3 linked regions of the Drosophila melanogaster genome follow. The protein of the gene in region 2 interacts with the protein of the main gene of each other region in a pairwise test. Each region holds a gene or a part of one and is shown on either strand. Other genes may lie near its edges. The genes, in order: Cpr92F, CG3528 and Gsc.

The links.
Region 1: the proteins of CG3528 (region 2) and Cpr92F interact in a two-hybrid assay, tested with the Drosophila melanogaster proteins (one large-scale study listed by BioGRID).
Region 3: the proteins of CG3528 (region 2) and Gsc interact in a two-hybrid assay, tested with the Drosophila melanogaster proteins (one large-scale study listed by BioGRID).

The regions. Positions count from the first base shown.
Region 1 is NT_033777.3:20,667,552-20,671,305, reverse strand, and holds the start of Cpr92F (cuticular protein 92F), read right to left. Parts: upstream 1,736-3,754; 5' UTR 1,576-1,735; coding exon 1,564-1,575; intron 171-1,563; coding exon 1-170.
Region 2 is NT_033779.5:2,516,501-2,520,090, forward strand, and holds CG3528 (uncharacterized protein), read right to left. Parts: upstream 1,538-3,590; 5' UTR 1,457-1,537; coding exon 1,151-1,456; intron 1,098-1,150; coding exon 696-1,097; 3' UTR 602-695; downstream 1-601.
Region 3 is NT_033779.5:592,953-596,706, forward strand, and holds the start of Gsc (goosecoid), read right to left. Parts: upstream 1,734-3,754; 5' UTR 1,429-1,733; coding exon of another isoform or gene 1,255-1,428; coding exon 636-1,254; intron 1-635.

The sequences.
Region 1 (3,754 bases), on a different chromosome or scaffold from region 2:
GAGCCGTGCGTGGTGCCGTCATGGCTTCGCGTCTCGTGCTTCTGTGAGTTGGGATCGGCGTATCCGTAGGAGTAGGTGTGGCTGTGCGGGTCCAGGTGCTGGTACTGTGTGGAGACGGCTCCGTGCCAAGAGGCGGACACCGTCGAGATCAGCAACGCTGCGGCAATAAACTAAATAAAAATGGGAAATTATTTTTTGTAATTTTGATGTAGCTGATAAAAAAAACTAACAAATTTCAATATAGCTTTACAGAACTGATTTTTATATATTAAATATATATATAATAATAATTAAAAATCTTTTTGATTTTGCCTATGTTGAATTCCGATTAGAGAACTTTTGTACCTTCATCTCTTTGAATATTTCAAATTATTTAACATATAGCTTCTACATGTTTCTCACAGTGCAGAAGGTGTTAGGCGTGGGATTATGTGACTGCTCAATAATTACTCGTGCGGTAGCCACCGCCCAAAATCGTTAATCGCAGGTGTCACTCAGTGGAAGCTTATAAGCCGCCTCTGCTAACCTAATTACAGGCTTTTCGCTTTTCTTGCTCTTGCGCCAGCGTTTTCCTCTCGCTTTTCTTGCCCCACACGCCCATCTTTTCGCTTTTCTCCTGGACTCGCTTCTCCTCTGGATTCGCTTTTCCAATGGTTTCGCTTTTCAGAGCCGCGAAGCGCAACCGTTAGATTTGATTCCGAGATATGTAGTCAGTAGTCGGTCGGTCGGCCAATATTCGTTCGAAGATATTACCGCATGCGGCGCGATTATGTACGATATTATGTGTCAGCAGGTGAGTGGGGCAGAAAGTGGTGGAAAAACGGTTGAATAAACTGTCCGACATGCAACATGTCAGCGGCTTATCAACGGGATTTCGCACGGAGTTCCATGGCAGCTGATGGTTTGCTGGGTGGTACGTTTAGCATGACGTGCCATGGTAATTGACTCTCGGATGGAACTGAACGATGCACAGGTGCCATTTCGTTCGGAGCGGAATTTAAGCGAAATAAATTGAGTTTACAAAAGCAATGTCAGTTGAATTTTAAATTAATTGCGCTATGACAGATTAAAAGAATGCCAGGAATTCATTCAAACTTAATGGCAAGTCACTGTCAAACTAGTGTTTACTTTTCGAACGGCTGACAAAATCCAATTTAAAGATTTGGTATGCCACACTTCTCTCTTGATACCGATTAACATATCCCAAAGATCGAAAATGAAAAAGCAGTTCTAACTAGCGAAACCTGGCTGTGGACTTACATAGTTCCATTAAACTACGATTTTAATGAACTTAAGCATTTCATGATAGAATCAATCAATTAAATGAACTTTTGCCCACTTTTATGGTAAAATTTTGTAACTTTAAGAAAAATAAATTACATGCAGAGACGTTAATCACTAATTTGTAGAACAGAAAAAGTTAGAAATGTATCTCAGTAATTCAAGCACGGAATCCAAATATCCTTTTCTCCTCACGGTAATCTACACACTCCAACTCATATTATTTATAACTTTAATCCTCTTGCTCGGCGTTATCCTTTCGATCCCATGGCGCATACTTACGAATGGCTTCATTTTAGCTATGATCACACGATTGAGCTTCGAAAAGGAGTTTCGGGGACACACTGCGGATGAACGGAAAACTAACTACACACGACACACGGGCACAGGCACTGGTCGCTGGACGCTGGTTGAACCTCCTAGAACCACGACTAGGACTGTTAACGAACTGTGCTGACTGCTGGCTGGCGGCCCTAATATATACCGCCCGAGACCAGCGAGCCCGGAGACTGGGGATTGGGGAGCAGAGACACTGCAGCCGAGACTCCGGCTGAGACGCCGGCGCATGCGCAACATTGGTAACAGCAGCGAAAACACCGCAACACCAGCAATATCGGGCGTTCAACAAAAGCCAACAAAAGCCAACGAGAGCAAGAGCAGAACAATGTGTGGTACCAGTTCCAGAGTAATCGAATTACCACTTTAATCGGGGCTCGAAGCGGGGTTTGGCCAGAGCCGAAGTGGATATCGCAGCCGAAGAATGTGTATCAATCGCTTGCAGTGGAGTGCCGCTGCAGCATGTTGCTGGCCTGCAGTTGCACTGGCAACATGTTGCTCGTGCGTTTCCGCGCTGCGTTTGTCACTGTGGAAAAAATCACAGCTGCCATGACCTTGCTTTCAACGCGATTTAATTGCCGGTATTGGTTTCAACCTGGCTTCAACATTAGGCGATTAATGTATTTTATTTGGTGTTGTTTCGGGTGCTAGTTCTTTGACTTCCGCGGTGCGGACAATTAGCACTCATTATTTGGCCACGGGATTAGGCCGATCTTATCGATCAGTGCCTTTCCAAAAAACGCCCAAGAGCCCCGCCCCAAGCGCAACGCTCGATCAAATTAAAAAATTCTTACCCACCGCTTGCAACATGCCCCAATGGTGGCCATAACGAAATGTGAGCTGGCCAATTTCTGGGCGTTTGCCTCTTTAATCATTGAACTGCATCGGAAAACGAAACGAAAACTTTGCAAATTAAAAAAAAAGGAGAAACAAGAGCACTGCCCAAAGAAGCAAGCGGAAAACAAAAGACAGCAAAATGGATTTTCTATTCACTTTTGGCCACCGCTGTTGCCACATGTTGCAGCATTTCTTTGCTGTCCGCTAATCTAGATGTTGCACTCCCAAATGCACTCATGCACTCGGAAAATCAAAATTATTTAACTTAGAATGAGCTATCCTTAACTAAGAATAATCCCTAAGAAGAGAAAATGATATTCGTCGAATGCTAGGTGAGTGAACGATTTCGAAAGAAATGCTGTTGTAACTAATTTTTGTATGTATCTTAGTTGAATATCCCAACTTCTTAACAATTATTGAGTATCTTAGTTATTAAAGAGAAGAGATGATTTTTTTTCCCCAAAATGTTATTATTTTTTTATAGCTCAGTTAAACATATAAATATATATATATACATAAAGAAATAAATATAATTTAATGTAATGAATTTCGATTCCGTATCCGAAATCCGATTGCATTTTTTCTGCAAGTGCAGCAGTGAGCCTCTCTTGTCCGTTGCAATATAATGAGTGCTTGCACCCTGGCTAACTTTGATTATTTGCATTCGATAAGCGAAATCGGGAGGGCGGTTGGCTATATGCGCCTATATACTCGTTTATAGTCTATATGGCACACTCCATATTCTTGAGTTCGTATCGGCAACTTAATTTGTTTGCCTTTGCCTGCCACCAATTTAATTTGAATAAACCAAACCAACTTCAAACTGCTCTTTTGAACCCGCATGTGCTGTTGTTGTTGTTTTTATGCGCGGGCGGGCGATCGGTTTGGGGCGTGTTTGACATTTTTGCGGTATGCGCAACATTATAAATTATATTTTTTGCCGGTGCCACTTTTGTTTTCATTTTATTAGCTCGGCCCACTGTCGACAGCTGTGGGCCGACTGCCTGAATGAATGCCTCGACTGGCTCAAGTGCAATCCACACATTTGTGGATTTGTCGAGGTGCCCACCTTCAGCCACCTTCAGCTTCAGCTCCAACCCGACCCGATCCAATCCAGCTCCATTTGCGAACGGCGTCTGTAATTATGGTCTTGGCTCTCAATGCGAACGCTACTGGCCGGGTGTCGGGCATATGAATTCTGATCGGTATCTGGGTGAAAATTAACTAATTACCTGGTAATAACGCGTATTATGCAATCAGAATCAATTTATCTAAATGCATTCCTAATCTAAGCGTAGCC
Region 2 (3,590 bases):
TGTAAATTAGCAGCTAATTGTATATGCAAATTAAATTGCACTGCCTCTGCATGTGGCACTTAAATCATAATTTAGGCGTATTTAATATTTATTTGAATTTGCTTCTCCAAAAACATGGTATCTGGGCAACAGAGTGGATTTAATTGTATTCATATAATTTTTATTAAGACTGACTACTAATATTTTCAACTCATTAACCACCAATGTGTAAGCCGTAGCAAATTCTCCTTTCAGCCTTGTGTAAATTTTGGCCAAGTTGATTTGCATGAGTGGAAAGGCCAATTAAACAGACACACTGTTGGGAGAATTAACAAAGCGTCATAAGCTGACCCACACAAGCAAGTTGGCAAACAATGGCAAATGCGCAAACAGAAACATATTGGTCAAGTTGAAGGCTCAACCACGCCCCCATTCCGCCGGGCGACAGTTAATAGATTTATGCAATTGATGTTCCCTGACTGCGATAAACTCAACAAAGTGGCATAAAGCTCGGGTAATTTCCGCCGCCTGATGGACGGAGGACTCGCCGGGCGGAAGGACCTCGAAACGTCCATCAAAAACTGCGACCAGAACTGTACTGATAAGATATGAAAAGCAATTTACGTTAGCTGTCAGCGACAAATGCGCCCTCGTTTCGATTTATTTGCACATTTCATTTAACGACGATTACGTTCATTGACACTTTAAAGCCGTCGCTAATTAATGCGCCTGATTATGTGGTCGAAGAATATGACATATCCATAAATGGGCGAGAAATACGTTTTGCGGCTGACATTTTTCGAGTGCTCGCAATCGCAGGAGGCGTTCACACAGAATATTTTGTGATCGCCAACATGCTTTAGCAGCAGACTGTGGGGCCTCTTGTTCAACACCCGGAAATTGTCGCTGTTGTTGAAGGACACACGATTCTGGTGCCAGTCGAAGTAGCTGAGATGCAGATTCGATGGCCTCAGCTTCGTTCTGCCCTCGAAAATGGCCCGCCAGTCTACGCAGCTTGTAGAGTTCTCGAATCGCGACTCGCGCAGACTCTGCTCCAGGTCCAGAAAGCTGGAGATCTCTAGACCCTTCTTCGAACGCATCACCAGGTAGACGACGGTCTAAAAATTACAAAATGTACACATTTCACTACACATAAATGTAACCTTCTAACCGAAATTTGCTTTTCGAGCAGCTTCTTCTCTCGATTGGCAAACTGTTGGAGCACCTCATCTTTGTTGTTCAAGTAGTCTCCAAAAAGTTGGAGTCCTCGTAGTCCCCTTGGCTTTAGAAGCACCAACTCTTTCTCCTTCCGCTGGTAGAATTGCTCGCGGGTGAGCAGATTACCCAGGCAATTCTTACCGCAGGCATTCTGGATCAGGTTCCTCTGGATCTCTTTGTTGCCCAAATAGCGAGTGTCCTGGATGGTTATGAAGCTGTCTACATAGTCCTGGTAATGATTAAAGTTAATCAGATTCATTCCGCGCGAAACTCAAAAAACTAAAACTGAAAAGCTGCTGAATGGCAAGAAAACTGTGATTTCGTGTAAATCAAAATGTATAATATTTTGAATAAGTTCGAGCAAAATACATTACTGACAACAAACTGCCAACTTTGGCTCAAAAGGCAAAACTTTTGCTGGGCCTGAAGAAGCAGAGTTGTTCTCATATTCAATTTCGAATGAAAGTAGCTGAGCACAAAAAATATTCCTTCTAATTTTCGAAACTCGTGAAAAAGTCTTATCTTAATTGAAATTTGTTTGAGAAACTGATAGCCGGAATGGTTTGTAACAATTTGTAACAGCTTTAATTTCATGTGCGCACAAATAATTAAACATTTCCCACATAGAGTTCCCTTGGCAGAATCCGCTGCGCTGTTCGTGTGGCAAATTTAATAAATGGAAAAAGTTTCACAATGCCCAAGCCCCGACTGTGCCCTTGTCCCTTTTAGCCCAGAACTGTGAGTATTTTCAATTACACTTCCCTATGTGCCACGCCCTCTCCCGCCGCCCATCAGGGGCATTTCGCATATTAAACTAATTACTTCATCAACATTTTAAACTGCCAGCCAGCCAAAGGGAAAATTTGCATTTTCAGCCTGTGCGTATGCAGCGCTCTTTGTCCTTTTCCGCCTGATATCCCGTTGAGCGCACACTGTCGAGGATTAGCAGTCTAACAAGTGACACCTAGTGTTCCGCACATCGCCCTATGAATCCCAAGGACTTTCAGATCAGATCAGATTTACACATAAACGGTAACCAGTTGATGAACTTGCAACGAATAGTTTATAGTCAACTAAAAAATGTACCCAAGTCTATGAAATTGTACAGGATACTGTAACCTGCCTTAAAAATAAATCACTTTCAAAGTTCCTTTCGCCATTTGAGATTAATCACCAGGTAAACCAATTAAAACAATGCCAACAGCCGCTGCTAATCAGCCATAATTTATATATCAAATAGGGTGTGTAAGATGTCCTGCACTTCCTGGCAGATTTCCAGCTCGCTTTTCAATTTCCACACACAATACGCAGCTAGATTTTCCCCTTGCCTGCGTGAAGGTGTGTGTCTGTGTGAATTTACGCTATTTAGACACGCTTTCCCACTGTTTGCAGTTGTTGCTGTCGTCGCTGCAGCAATTAACATGCAGCCGCTGCCGACACTTGGAGCTCAGTGCTCCTCCACGTGCAGATCCCCCTCCATAGTTTTCCTCTGCATTTTCCCAAGCCTTCTCACAATTTCCCTTCCCTCCCCCCTCTCCATCACTTTGGGGCAACAACTGCTGTTCCGTTTTGCATGCTTTGTCACCATCTTGCCGCTTGCCGCCGTCTTGAGCGCGTAAATTGCTACTTCGTGGGCCAATCCTCCTGCTCCCCGCTGAAGTCACGACATACCCACTTCCCGCCAGTCTACTGGCAGGACCTACAGGACCGCCAGGACTGCCAGGACTCGCATTTCGCCCGCTGCGTCTTGGCCGTGGCCATTGTTTGACTTGGTCATTAGTAAATGTACTTTGTCGCAGCATAAAAAGGAGTTAAGTGCGCACTCTAAGGATTTATGTGCATTACCAAAGAATGAGGCGGCAATGCTCAATGCTGCCTCGGGAAAGTCGAGGCTGCTTTTGCCATGTGTTAAGTGCACATTTCTGATGAATGAGTCGGCTGGCTGCAACTGCATTTCAATTGCAGAAAGTGCTGAATGGACTGAGGGCTGGAATTTATAGTTGAGCAGTTGCCGTCATTATCGCACAGGGCATGCCAATCATCCACTTGAGCAGTTGCATAGATTGAAGTTATCAGAGAACTTCTAGATATGTAAATCATATTTTTTCAAGCATTCATACATTTCGAGCATGACAATGGACATGATTGCCGAAAAGCGTAGAAAAGCATACTGCTTGCATGTGCAAGTCAACCAGGAAGGGGTTTTTATAATTCCTATTTTGATTTCATTTTGCAGACCCCTAACTACGAAACTCCCAGATTTTCTGTGTAATCCCATCGCCACTCTGGAGTGCAATTTCCTTATTATAATGACGCTTGGCAGTGGTAGTAGTGCCACATGTCCGGCAAATAAATGGCTTACAGCCACGAGTCCTTTGAACTGTTGGCAAATG
Region 3 (3,754 bases), 1.9 Mb from region 2:
ATCTATTCCTTTGACCCCATCTGTAAACGTATGTGTGGCTTCCGTTTCCGGTTGCAGCAAGCTGGGGAAAAAAGTTGCGACCAGGTTTTTAATATTCATGTCCTGCGGGGGAGCCTTTGAATGAATTTAAGCGGTATTCTGCATAAATCTGCGCCTGAGATCCACGCTCGAATCAACACAAGGCCTGAGCCCATCTTAAAGCCACCCCAGCATCCCGGATTTCCCTGGTTTTTCCGGCCCAAGCTAAGACTTAGAGCCCAATGCAAATCCTCTCACCGCAAAATCGAAGGAAAATGGAGAGGAAATGCGGAATCATCTTTCACGGATCATTGCCTAATTATGAATAATGCCATTCAGGACTCGCTTCGGAATGGGTGTGGTTCGGTTGAGTGGGAGAGGATGAGGATGTCAGGATAAAAGTGGGTGAGTGGCTGAATGGGTGATTCCTGACTGCATGAGTGAGCTGCCTTAAGGTGATTTCAGAGTTTAGATGCATGAAATAAGGTATTTCAAAATGTTAAAATTTCTTTATCTAAAGAACCATCCTTTGAACTGGTTTCGTCTTAAGTTGTCTTCATAATGAAATTCAGCTGAGGGGGCTTGTGCGTTCAGTATAGGGGGATTGATAGACTTACCCAAAAAATCCGAGGGAGAGGCGGCAAAACCGCTCGCCGCTGCAGCCGCCAAGTGACCCAGATGCAGGCCAGGATGCTGCAGCATGGCAGGAACCCTCTGCGGTCGGATGGGACTGGCGGCTGCGCTAGAACTGGAGTTTGAATTTGGCGAGGCTGGGGACTCGGCGCCACTTCTTTTCAGACCCAAACTGATGCCATTCGAGGTGAGTCCATTTTGGTTGCCATTGCTGCTGATGTGGCTGCCTTGGCTTGGAGCGGTGCCTCCACCCTGTTGGCGAGAGCCCAAAATGCTGTCGATAGTGAAGAGAGACGCGGCGGCGGCTCCTCCTCTTCTCTCCTCTTCCAGAATGGTGACACCTGACTGGCTGCCATCATCGGAGGACGGAGTTTGACTTTGGGACTGCTGGTGTTGGGCGTGCTGCTGCTGGAGGACCGACTGCAATCGCTGGCCCAAGTAGCCGCATTGCTGCGAGTTCAGGAGCATGGCGGTGGTCAGGTGATAGGCGGCCGTGTTGCCAGGAGATCGCGAGATCTGCCTTGGAGGCTGCTGCTGCTCGCCGAGATCGCTGGGCGACCTTTTGAGGGTGTAACCCGCCGGCGGGGAATTTGTCTCTACCATTTGTGCCAGCATAGATCCAGCCGGAGGGGGCGTAGGCGGCGGGGAGGGGCTGGGCGTGCTCACGACGGTGATCTTGAACTTGGCCTTCGAGGGCGGAATGTCGGGCGTGGTGCTGGGAGTGGTGGTGGTGGTGCCTCCACCGCCTCCTCCAGGGGTCCACAGTGAGGAGAGAATCTTGAAGAAGTCTATGAAGCTTTCGAGTAGGAAAAAGTCTCTTCCCCACTGATTTTTTTTTAATGAAGCGGCACTTTTGAAGCACTAAGCGCTTTACAATTTTTTTTAATTCAGTAATGGTGGCAATGTTGCGAATATTAAGTCTAGGTTTTTTTCACTGGATTAGTGTGTTTTGATCGATGCCAAGTTCACTAAACCGCACTAGAAACACGCACTGCAATCGCGTCGTGATTTTATATTTTATTATTTCCACAGGTTTTCTGCCACCGGGAACCCTTCTTGTCCGCTCGAGCTGCGAAAGTGTTGTGAGAGCGTTCCGCCCGACAAGTTGTCGATTGAGTAGTCGTTAGGCCAGTTCCTCGACAGATATAGATACAGACTCTCAGATGCCAGATACAAACTCACATCTGCTCTCTCGTTTAGCGGACATTTTTCGACGTTGGCCAATGAAATCGGGGTGAAGCCACGCCCTCAACGCTACCATATTGCTTGGCAATACTCTCTGGCTTTGGACGCCTCTCCCTCTCTCTGTATCCTCCCTCCCTTTTTTGCTTTCCCTCTGTATCTCTTTCTCTCGCTCTAGCTGGTGGTGGTTGATGGTGTCGGGCCCCCATCTTGCAGTGTTCCAGGTTAAAGGCTGGCAGGAGGTCCAGGATAAAGATGGCGCTACAGAGATAATGCCCCATTCACCAGACCCCTCCTTTTCCACCCAATTCACACCAATGCTTCCATGTATTTTTTTGTATTTTTGCGCTCTCTACTTACTTTCTTTGGCCACTGACAGTTATTTATACAGATAAAGTCATCACTGACAGACCCCGCGGCCCCCACAGAAAGAGATAGCTGTCGAGGGAGCGATAGAGAAGGGAAGCGGGTGCGCAGGATATGGCAACAGAAGCTCTCTCGCTTTCACTCAGAGTGAGTAGCAGGGGTAGCATAAAAATGCTGATGGAAATTATGGGTGGCAAAAAGCCTGACGCTCTCTTCTCGCGTTCAGGGGATTCTGATACTCCACTGCCTCTGCTGGCGCCGTATCTTAAGAAGATAATGACTAAATTAATGCTTTTATGTTTCTGGCAACACATAAACATCATTATGCGCTCAATCCGCCCACGGAGAAGCGCTGCTCTTGCTCTTTCTCCCTTTCTGAGCTTTATCTTTATCATCATTCTTGCAGACGTTGGGAGCTTGAAAAGGGTTAAGGGGTGAACGTTTTATGTAGAAAGAAGCACGCTACTACTCGTACATAAAGATGAAGCTTACACTGGAGGGAGACTGGGAGCGCTCATTCAATAATCTACGGCACTTTGGTGACCCTCGTCGCTATTGTTTCACCTCGTGTGTGTGCATAGGAAAATATTTTAATCTAAAGTTTCCACATCAAACATGCCCAAGTGCAAAATCCCCAATGGCCGCCAGGGTTCGTTCCCTAGATATGCCCCCCCTCCTCGTCCACTCGAATGCAGGAAAACAAAAGCTAAGCTACGACTAATGATAAATGCAACTCTGCAAACCACACCCACAATCACAAATGGAAATCCAGCCAGGAAAAGCAAATGAACCGAAAAGTCCTTACAATGTCACCTATGTGGGGGTGAAAAATGGGGATCACTTGGAGAAATAATTCCCAAGTAAGGTCCATCTTTACATACTAACTAAACTTAATTCTGCTAGGAGAATCATGGAAGACGAGGCGTTCCTGATAAATTATCAATCAACACTGACTACTAAATTGGGTGGTTTCGAAATATCTTTAAATAATAAGAAAGTATTTAAAGGGCACCCAAATCGCTCTGTGTACTAAGATGGACAAAGAGGAGGGGTCCAGGGAGGGAGGCTTACATAAATGCAGATGTTTTAGTGTGTGTTGGGGGTATATGTGTTCAACTGATTACGGGGGCGCACGGAAGAAGAGGGGCGGTCCTGTCACATGCCGTAAAAGGATGAAAGGATGACGGCTGATGACGTCGCATGTGGCCAAATGCTTTTAGAAATTATTGAATAATTAAGCAGGCCAAGGACCGCAGGACCAGGATATTTCTGGTCCTCTTTCCCCTCCGATTCTTAGTGGATCCTGCCGCCCAGTTTTCTCTGGGCTTCGCTATTTGCCTTTACACTGAACTTCTTACATGGCCAACAACTCCCGACGGGAAAACCGATGATGACGATGTTGTAAATGTAAAGGAAATATTGAGTTGAGAATGGAAAAAGAGGAGGAAGCTCTGGGAGTGCGCTTCTCGCTAAGCTCAAAAGATGTGACGCACTTTTTTCTATTATTTTCCTCACAGAATTTGTTCAACTTGTTTTTTCACATGAAACTTTTTGT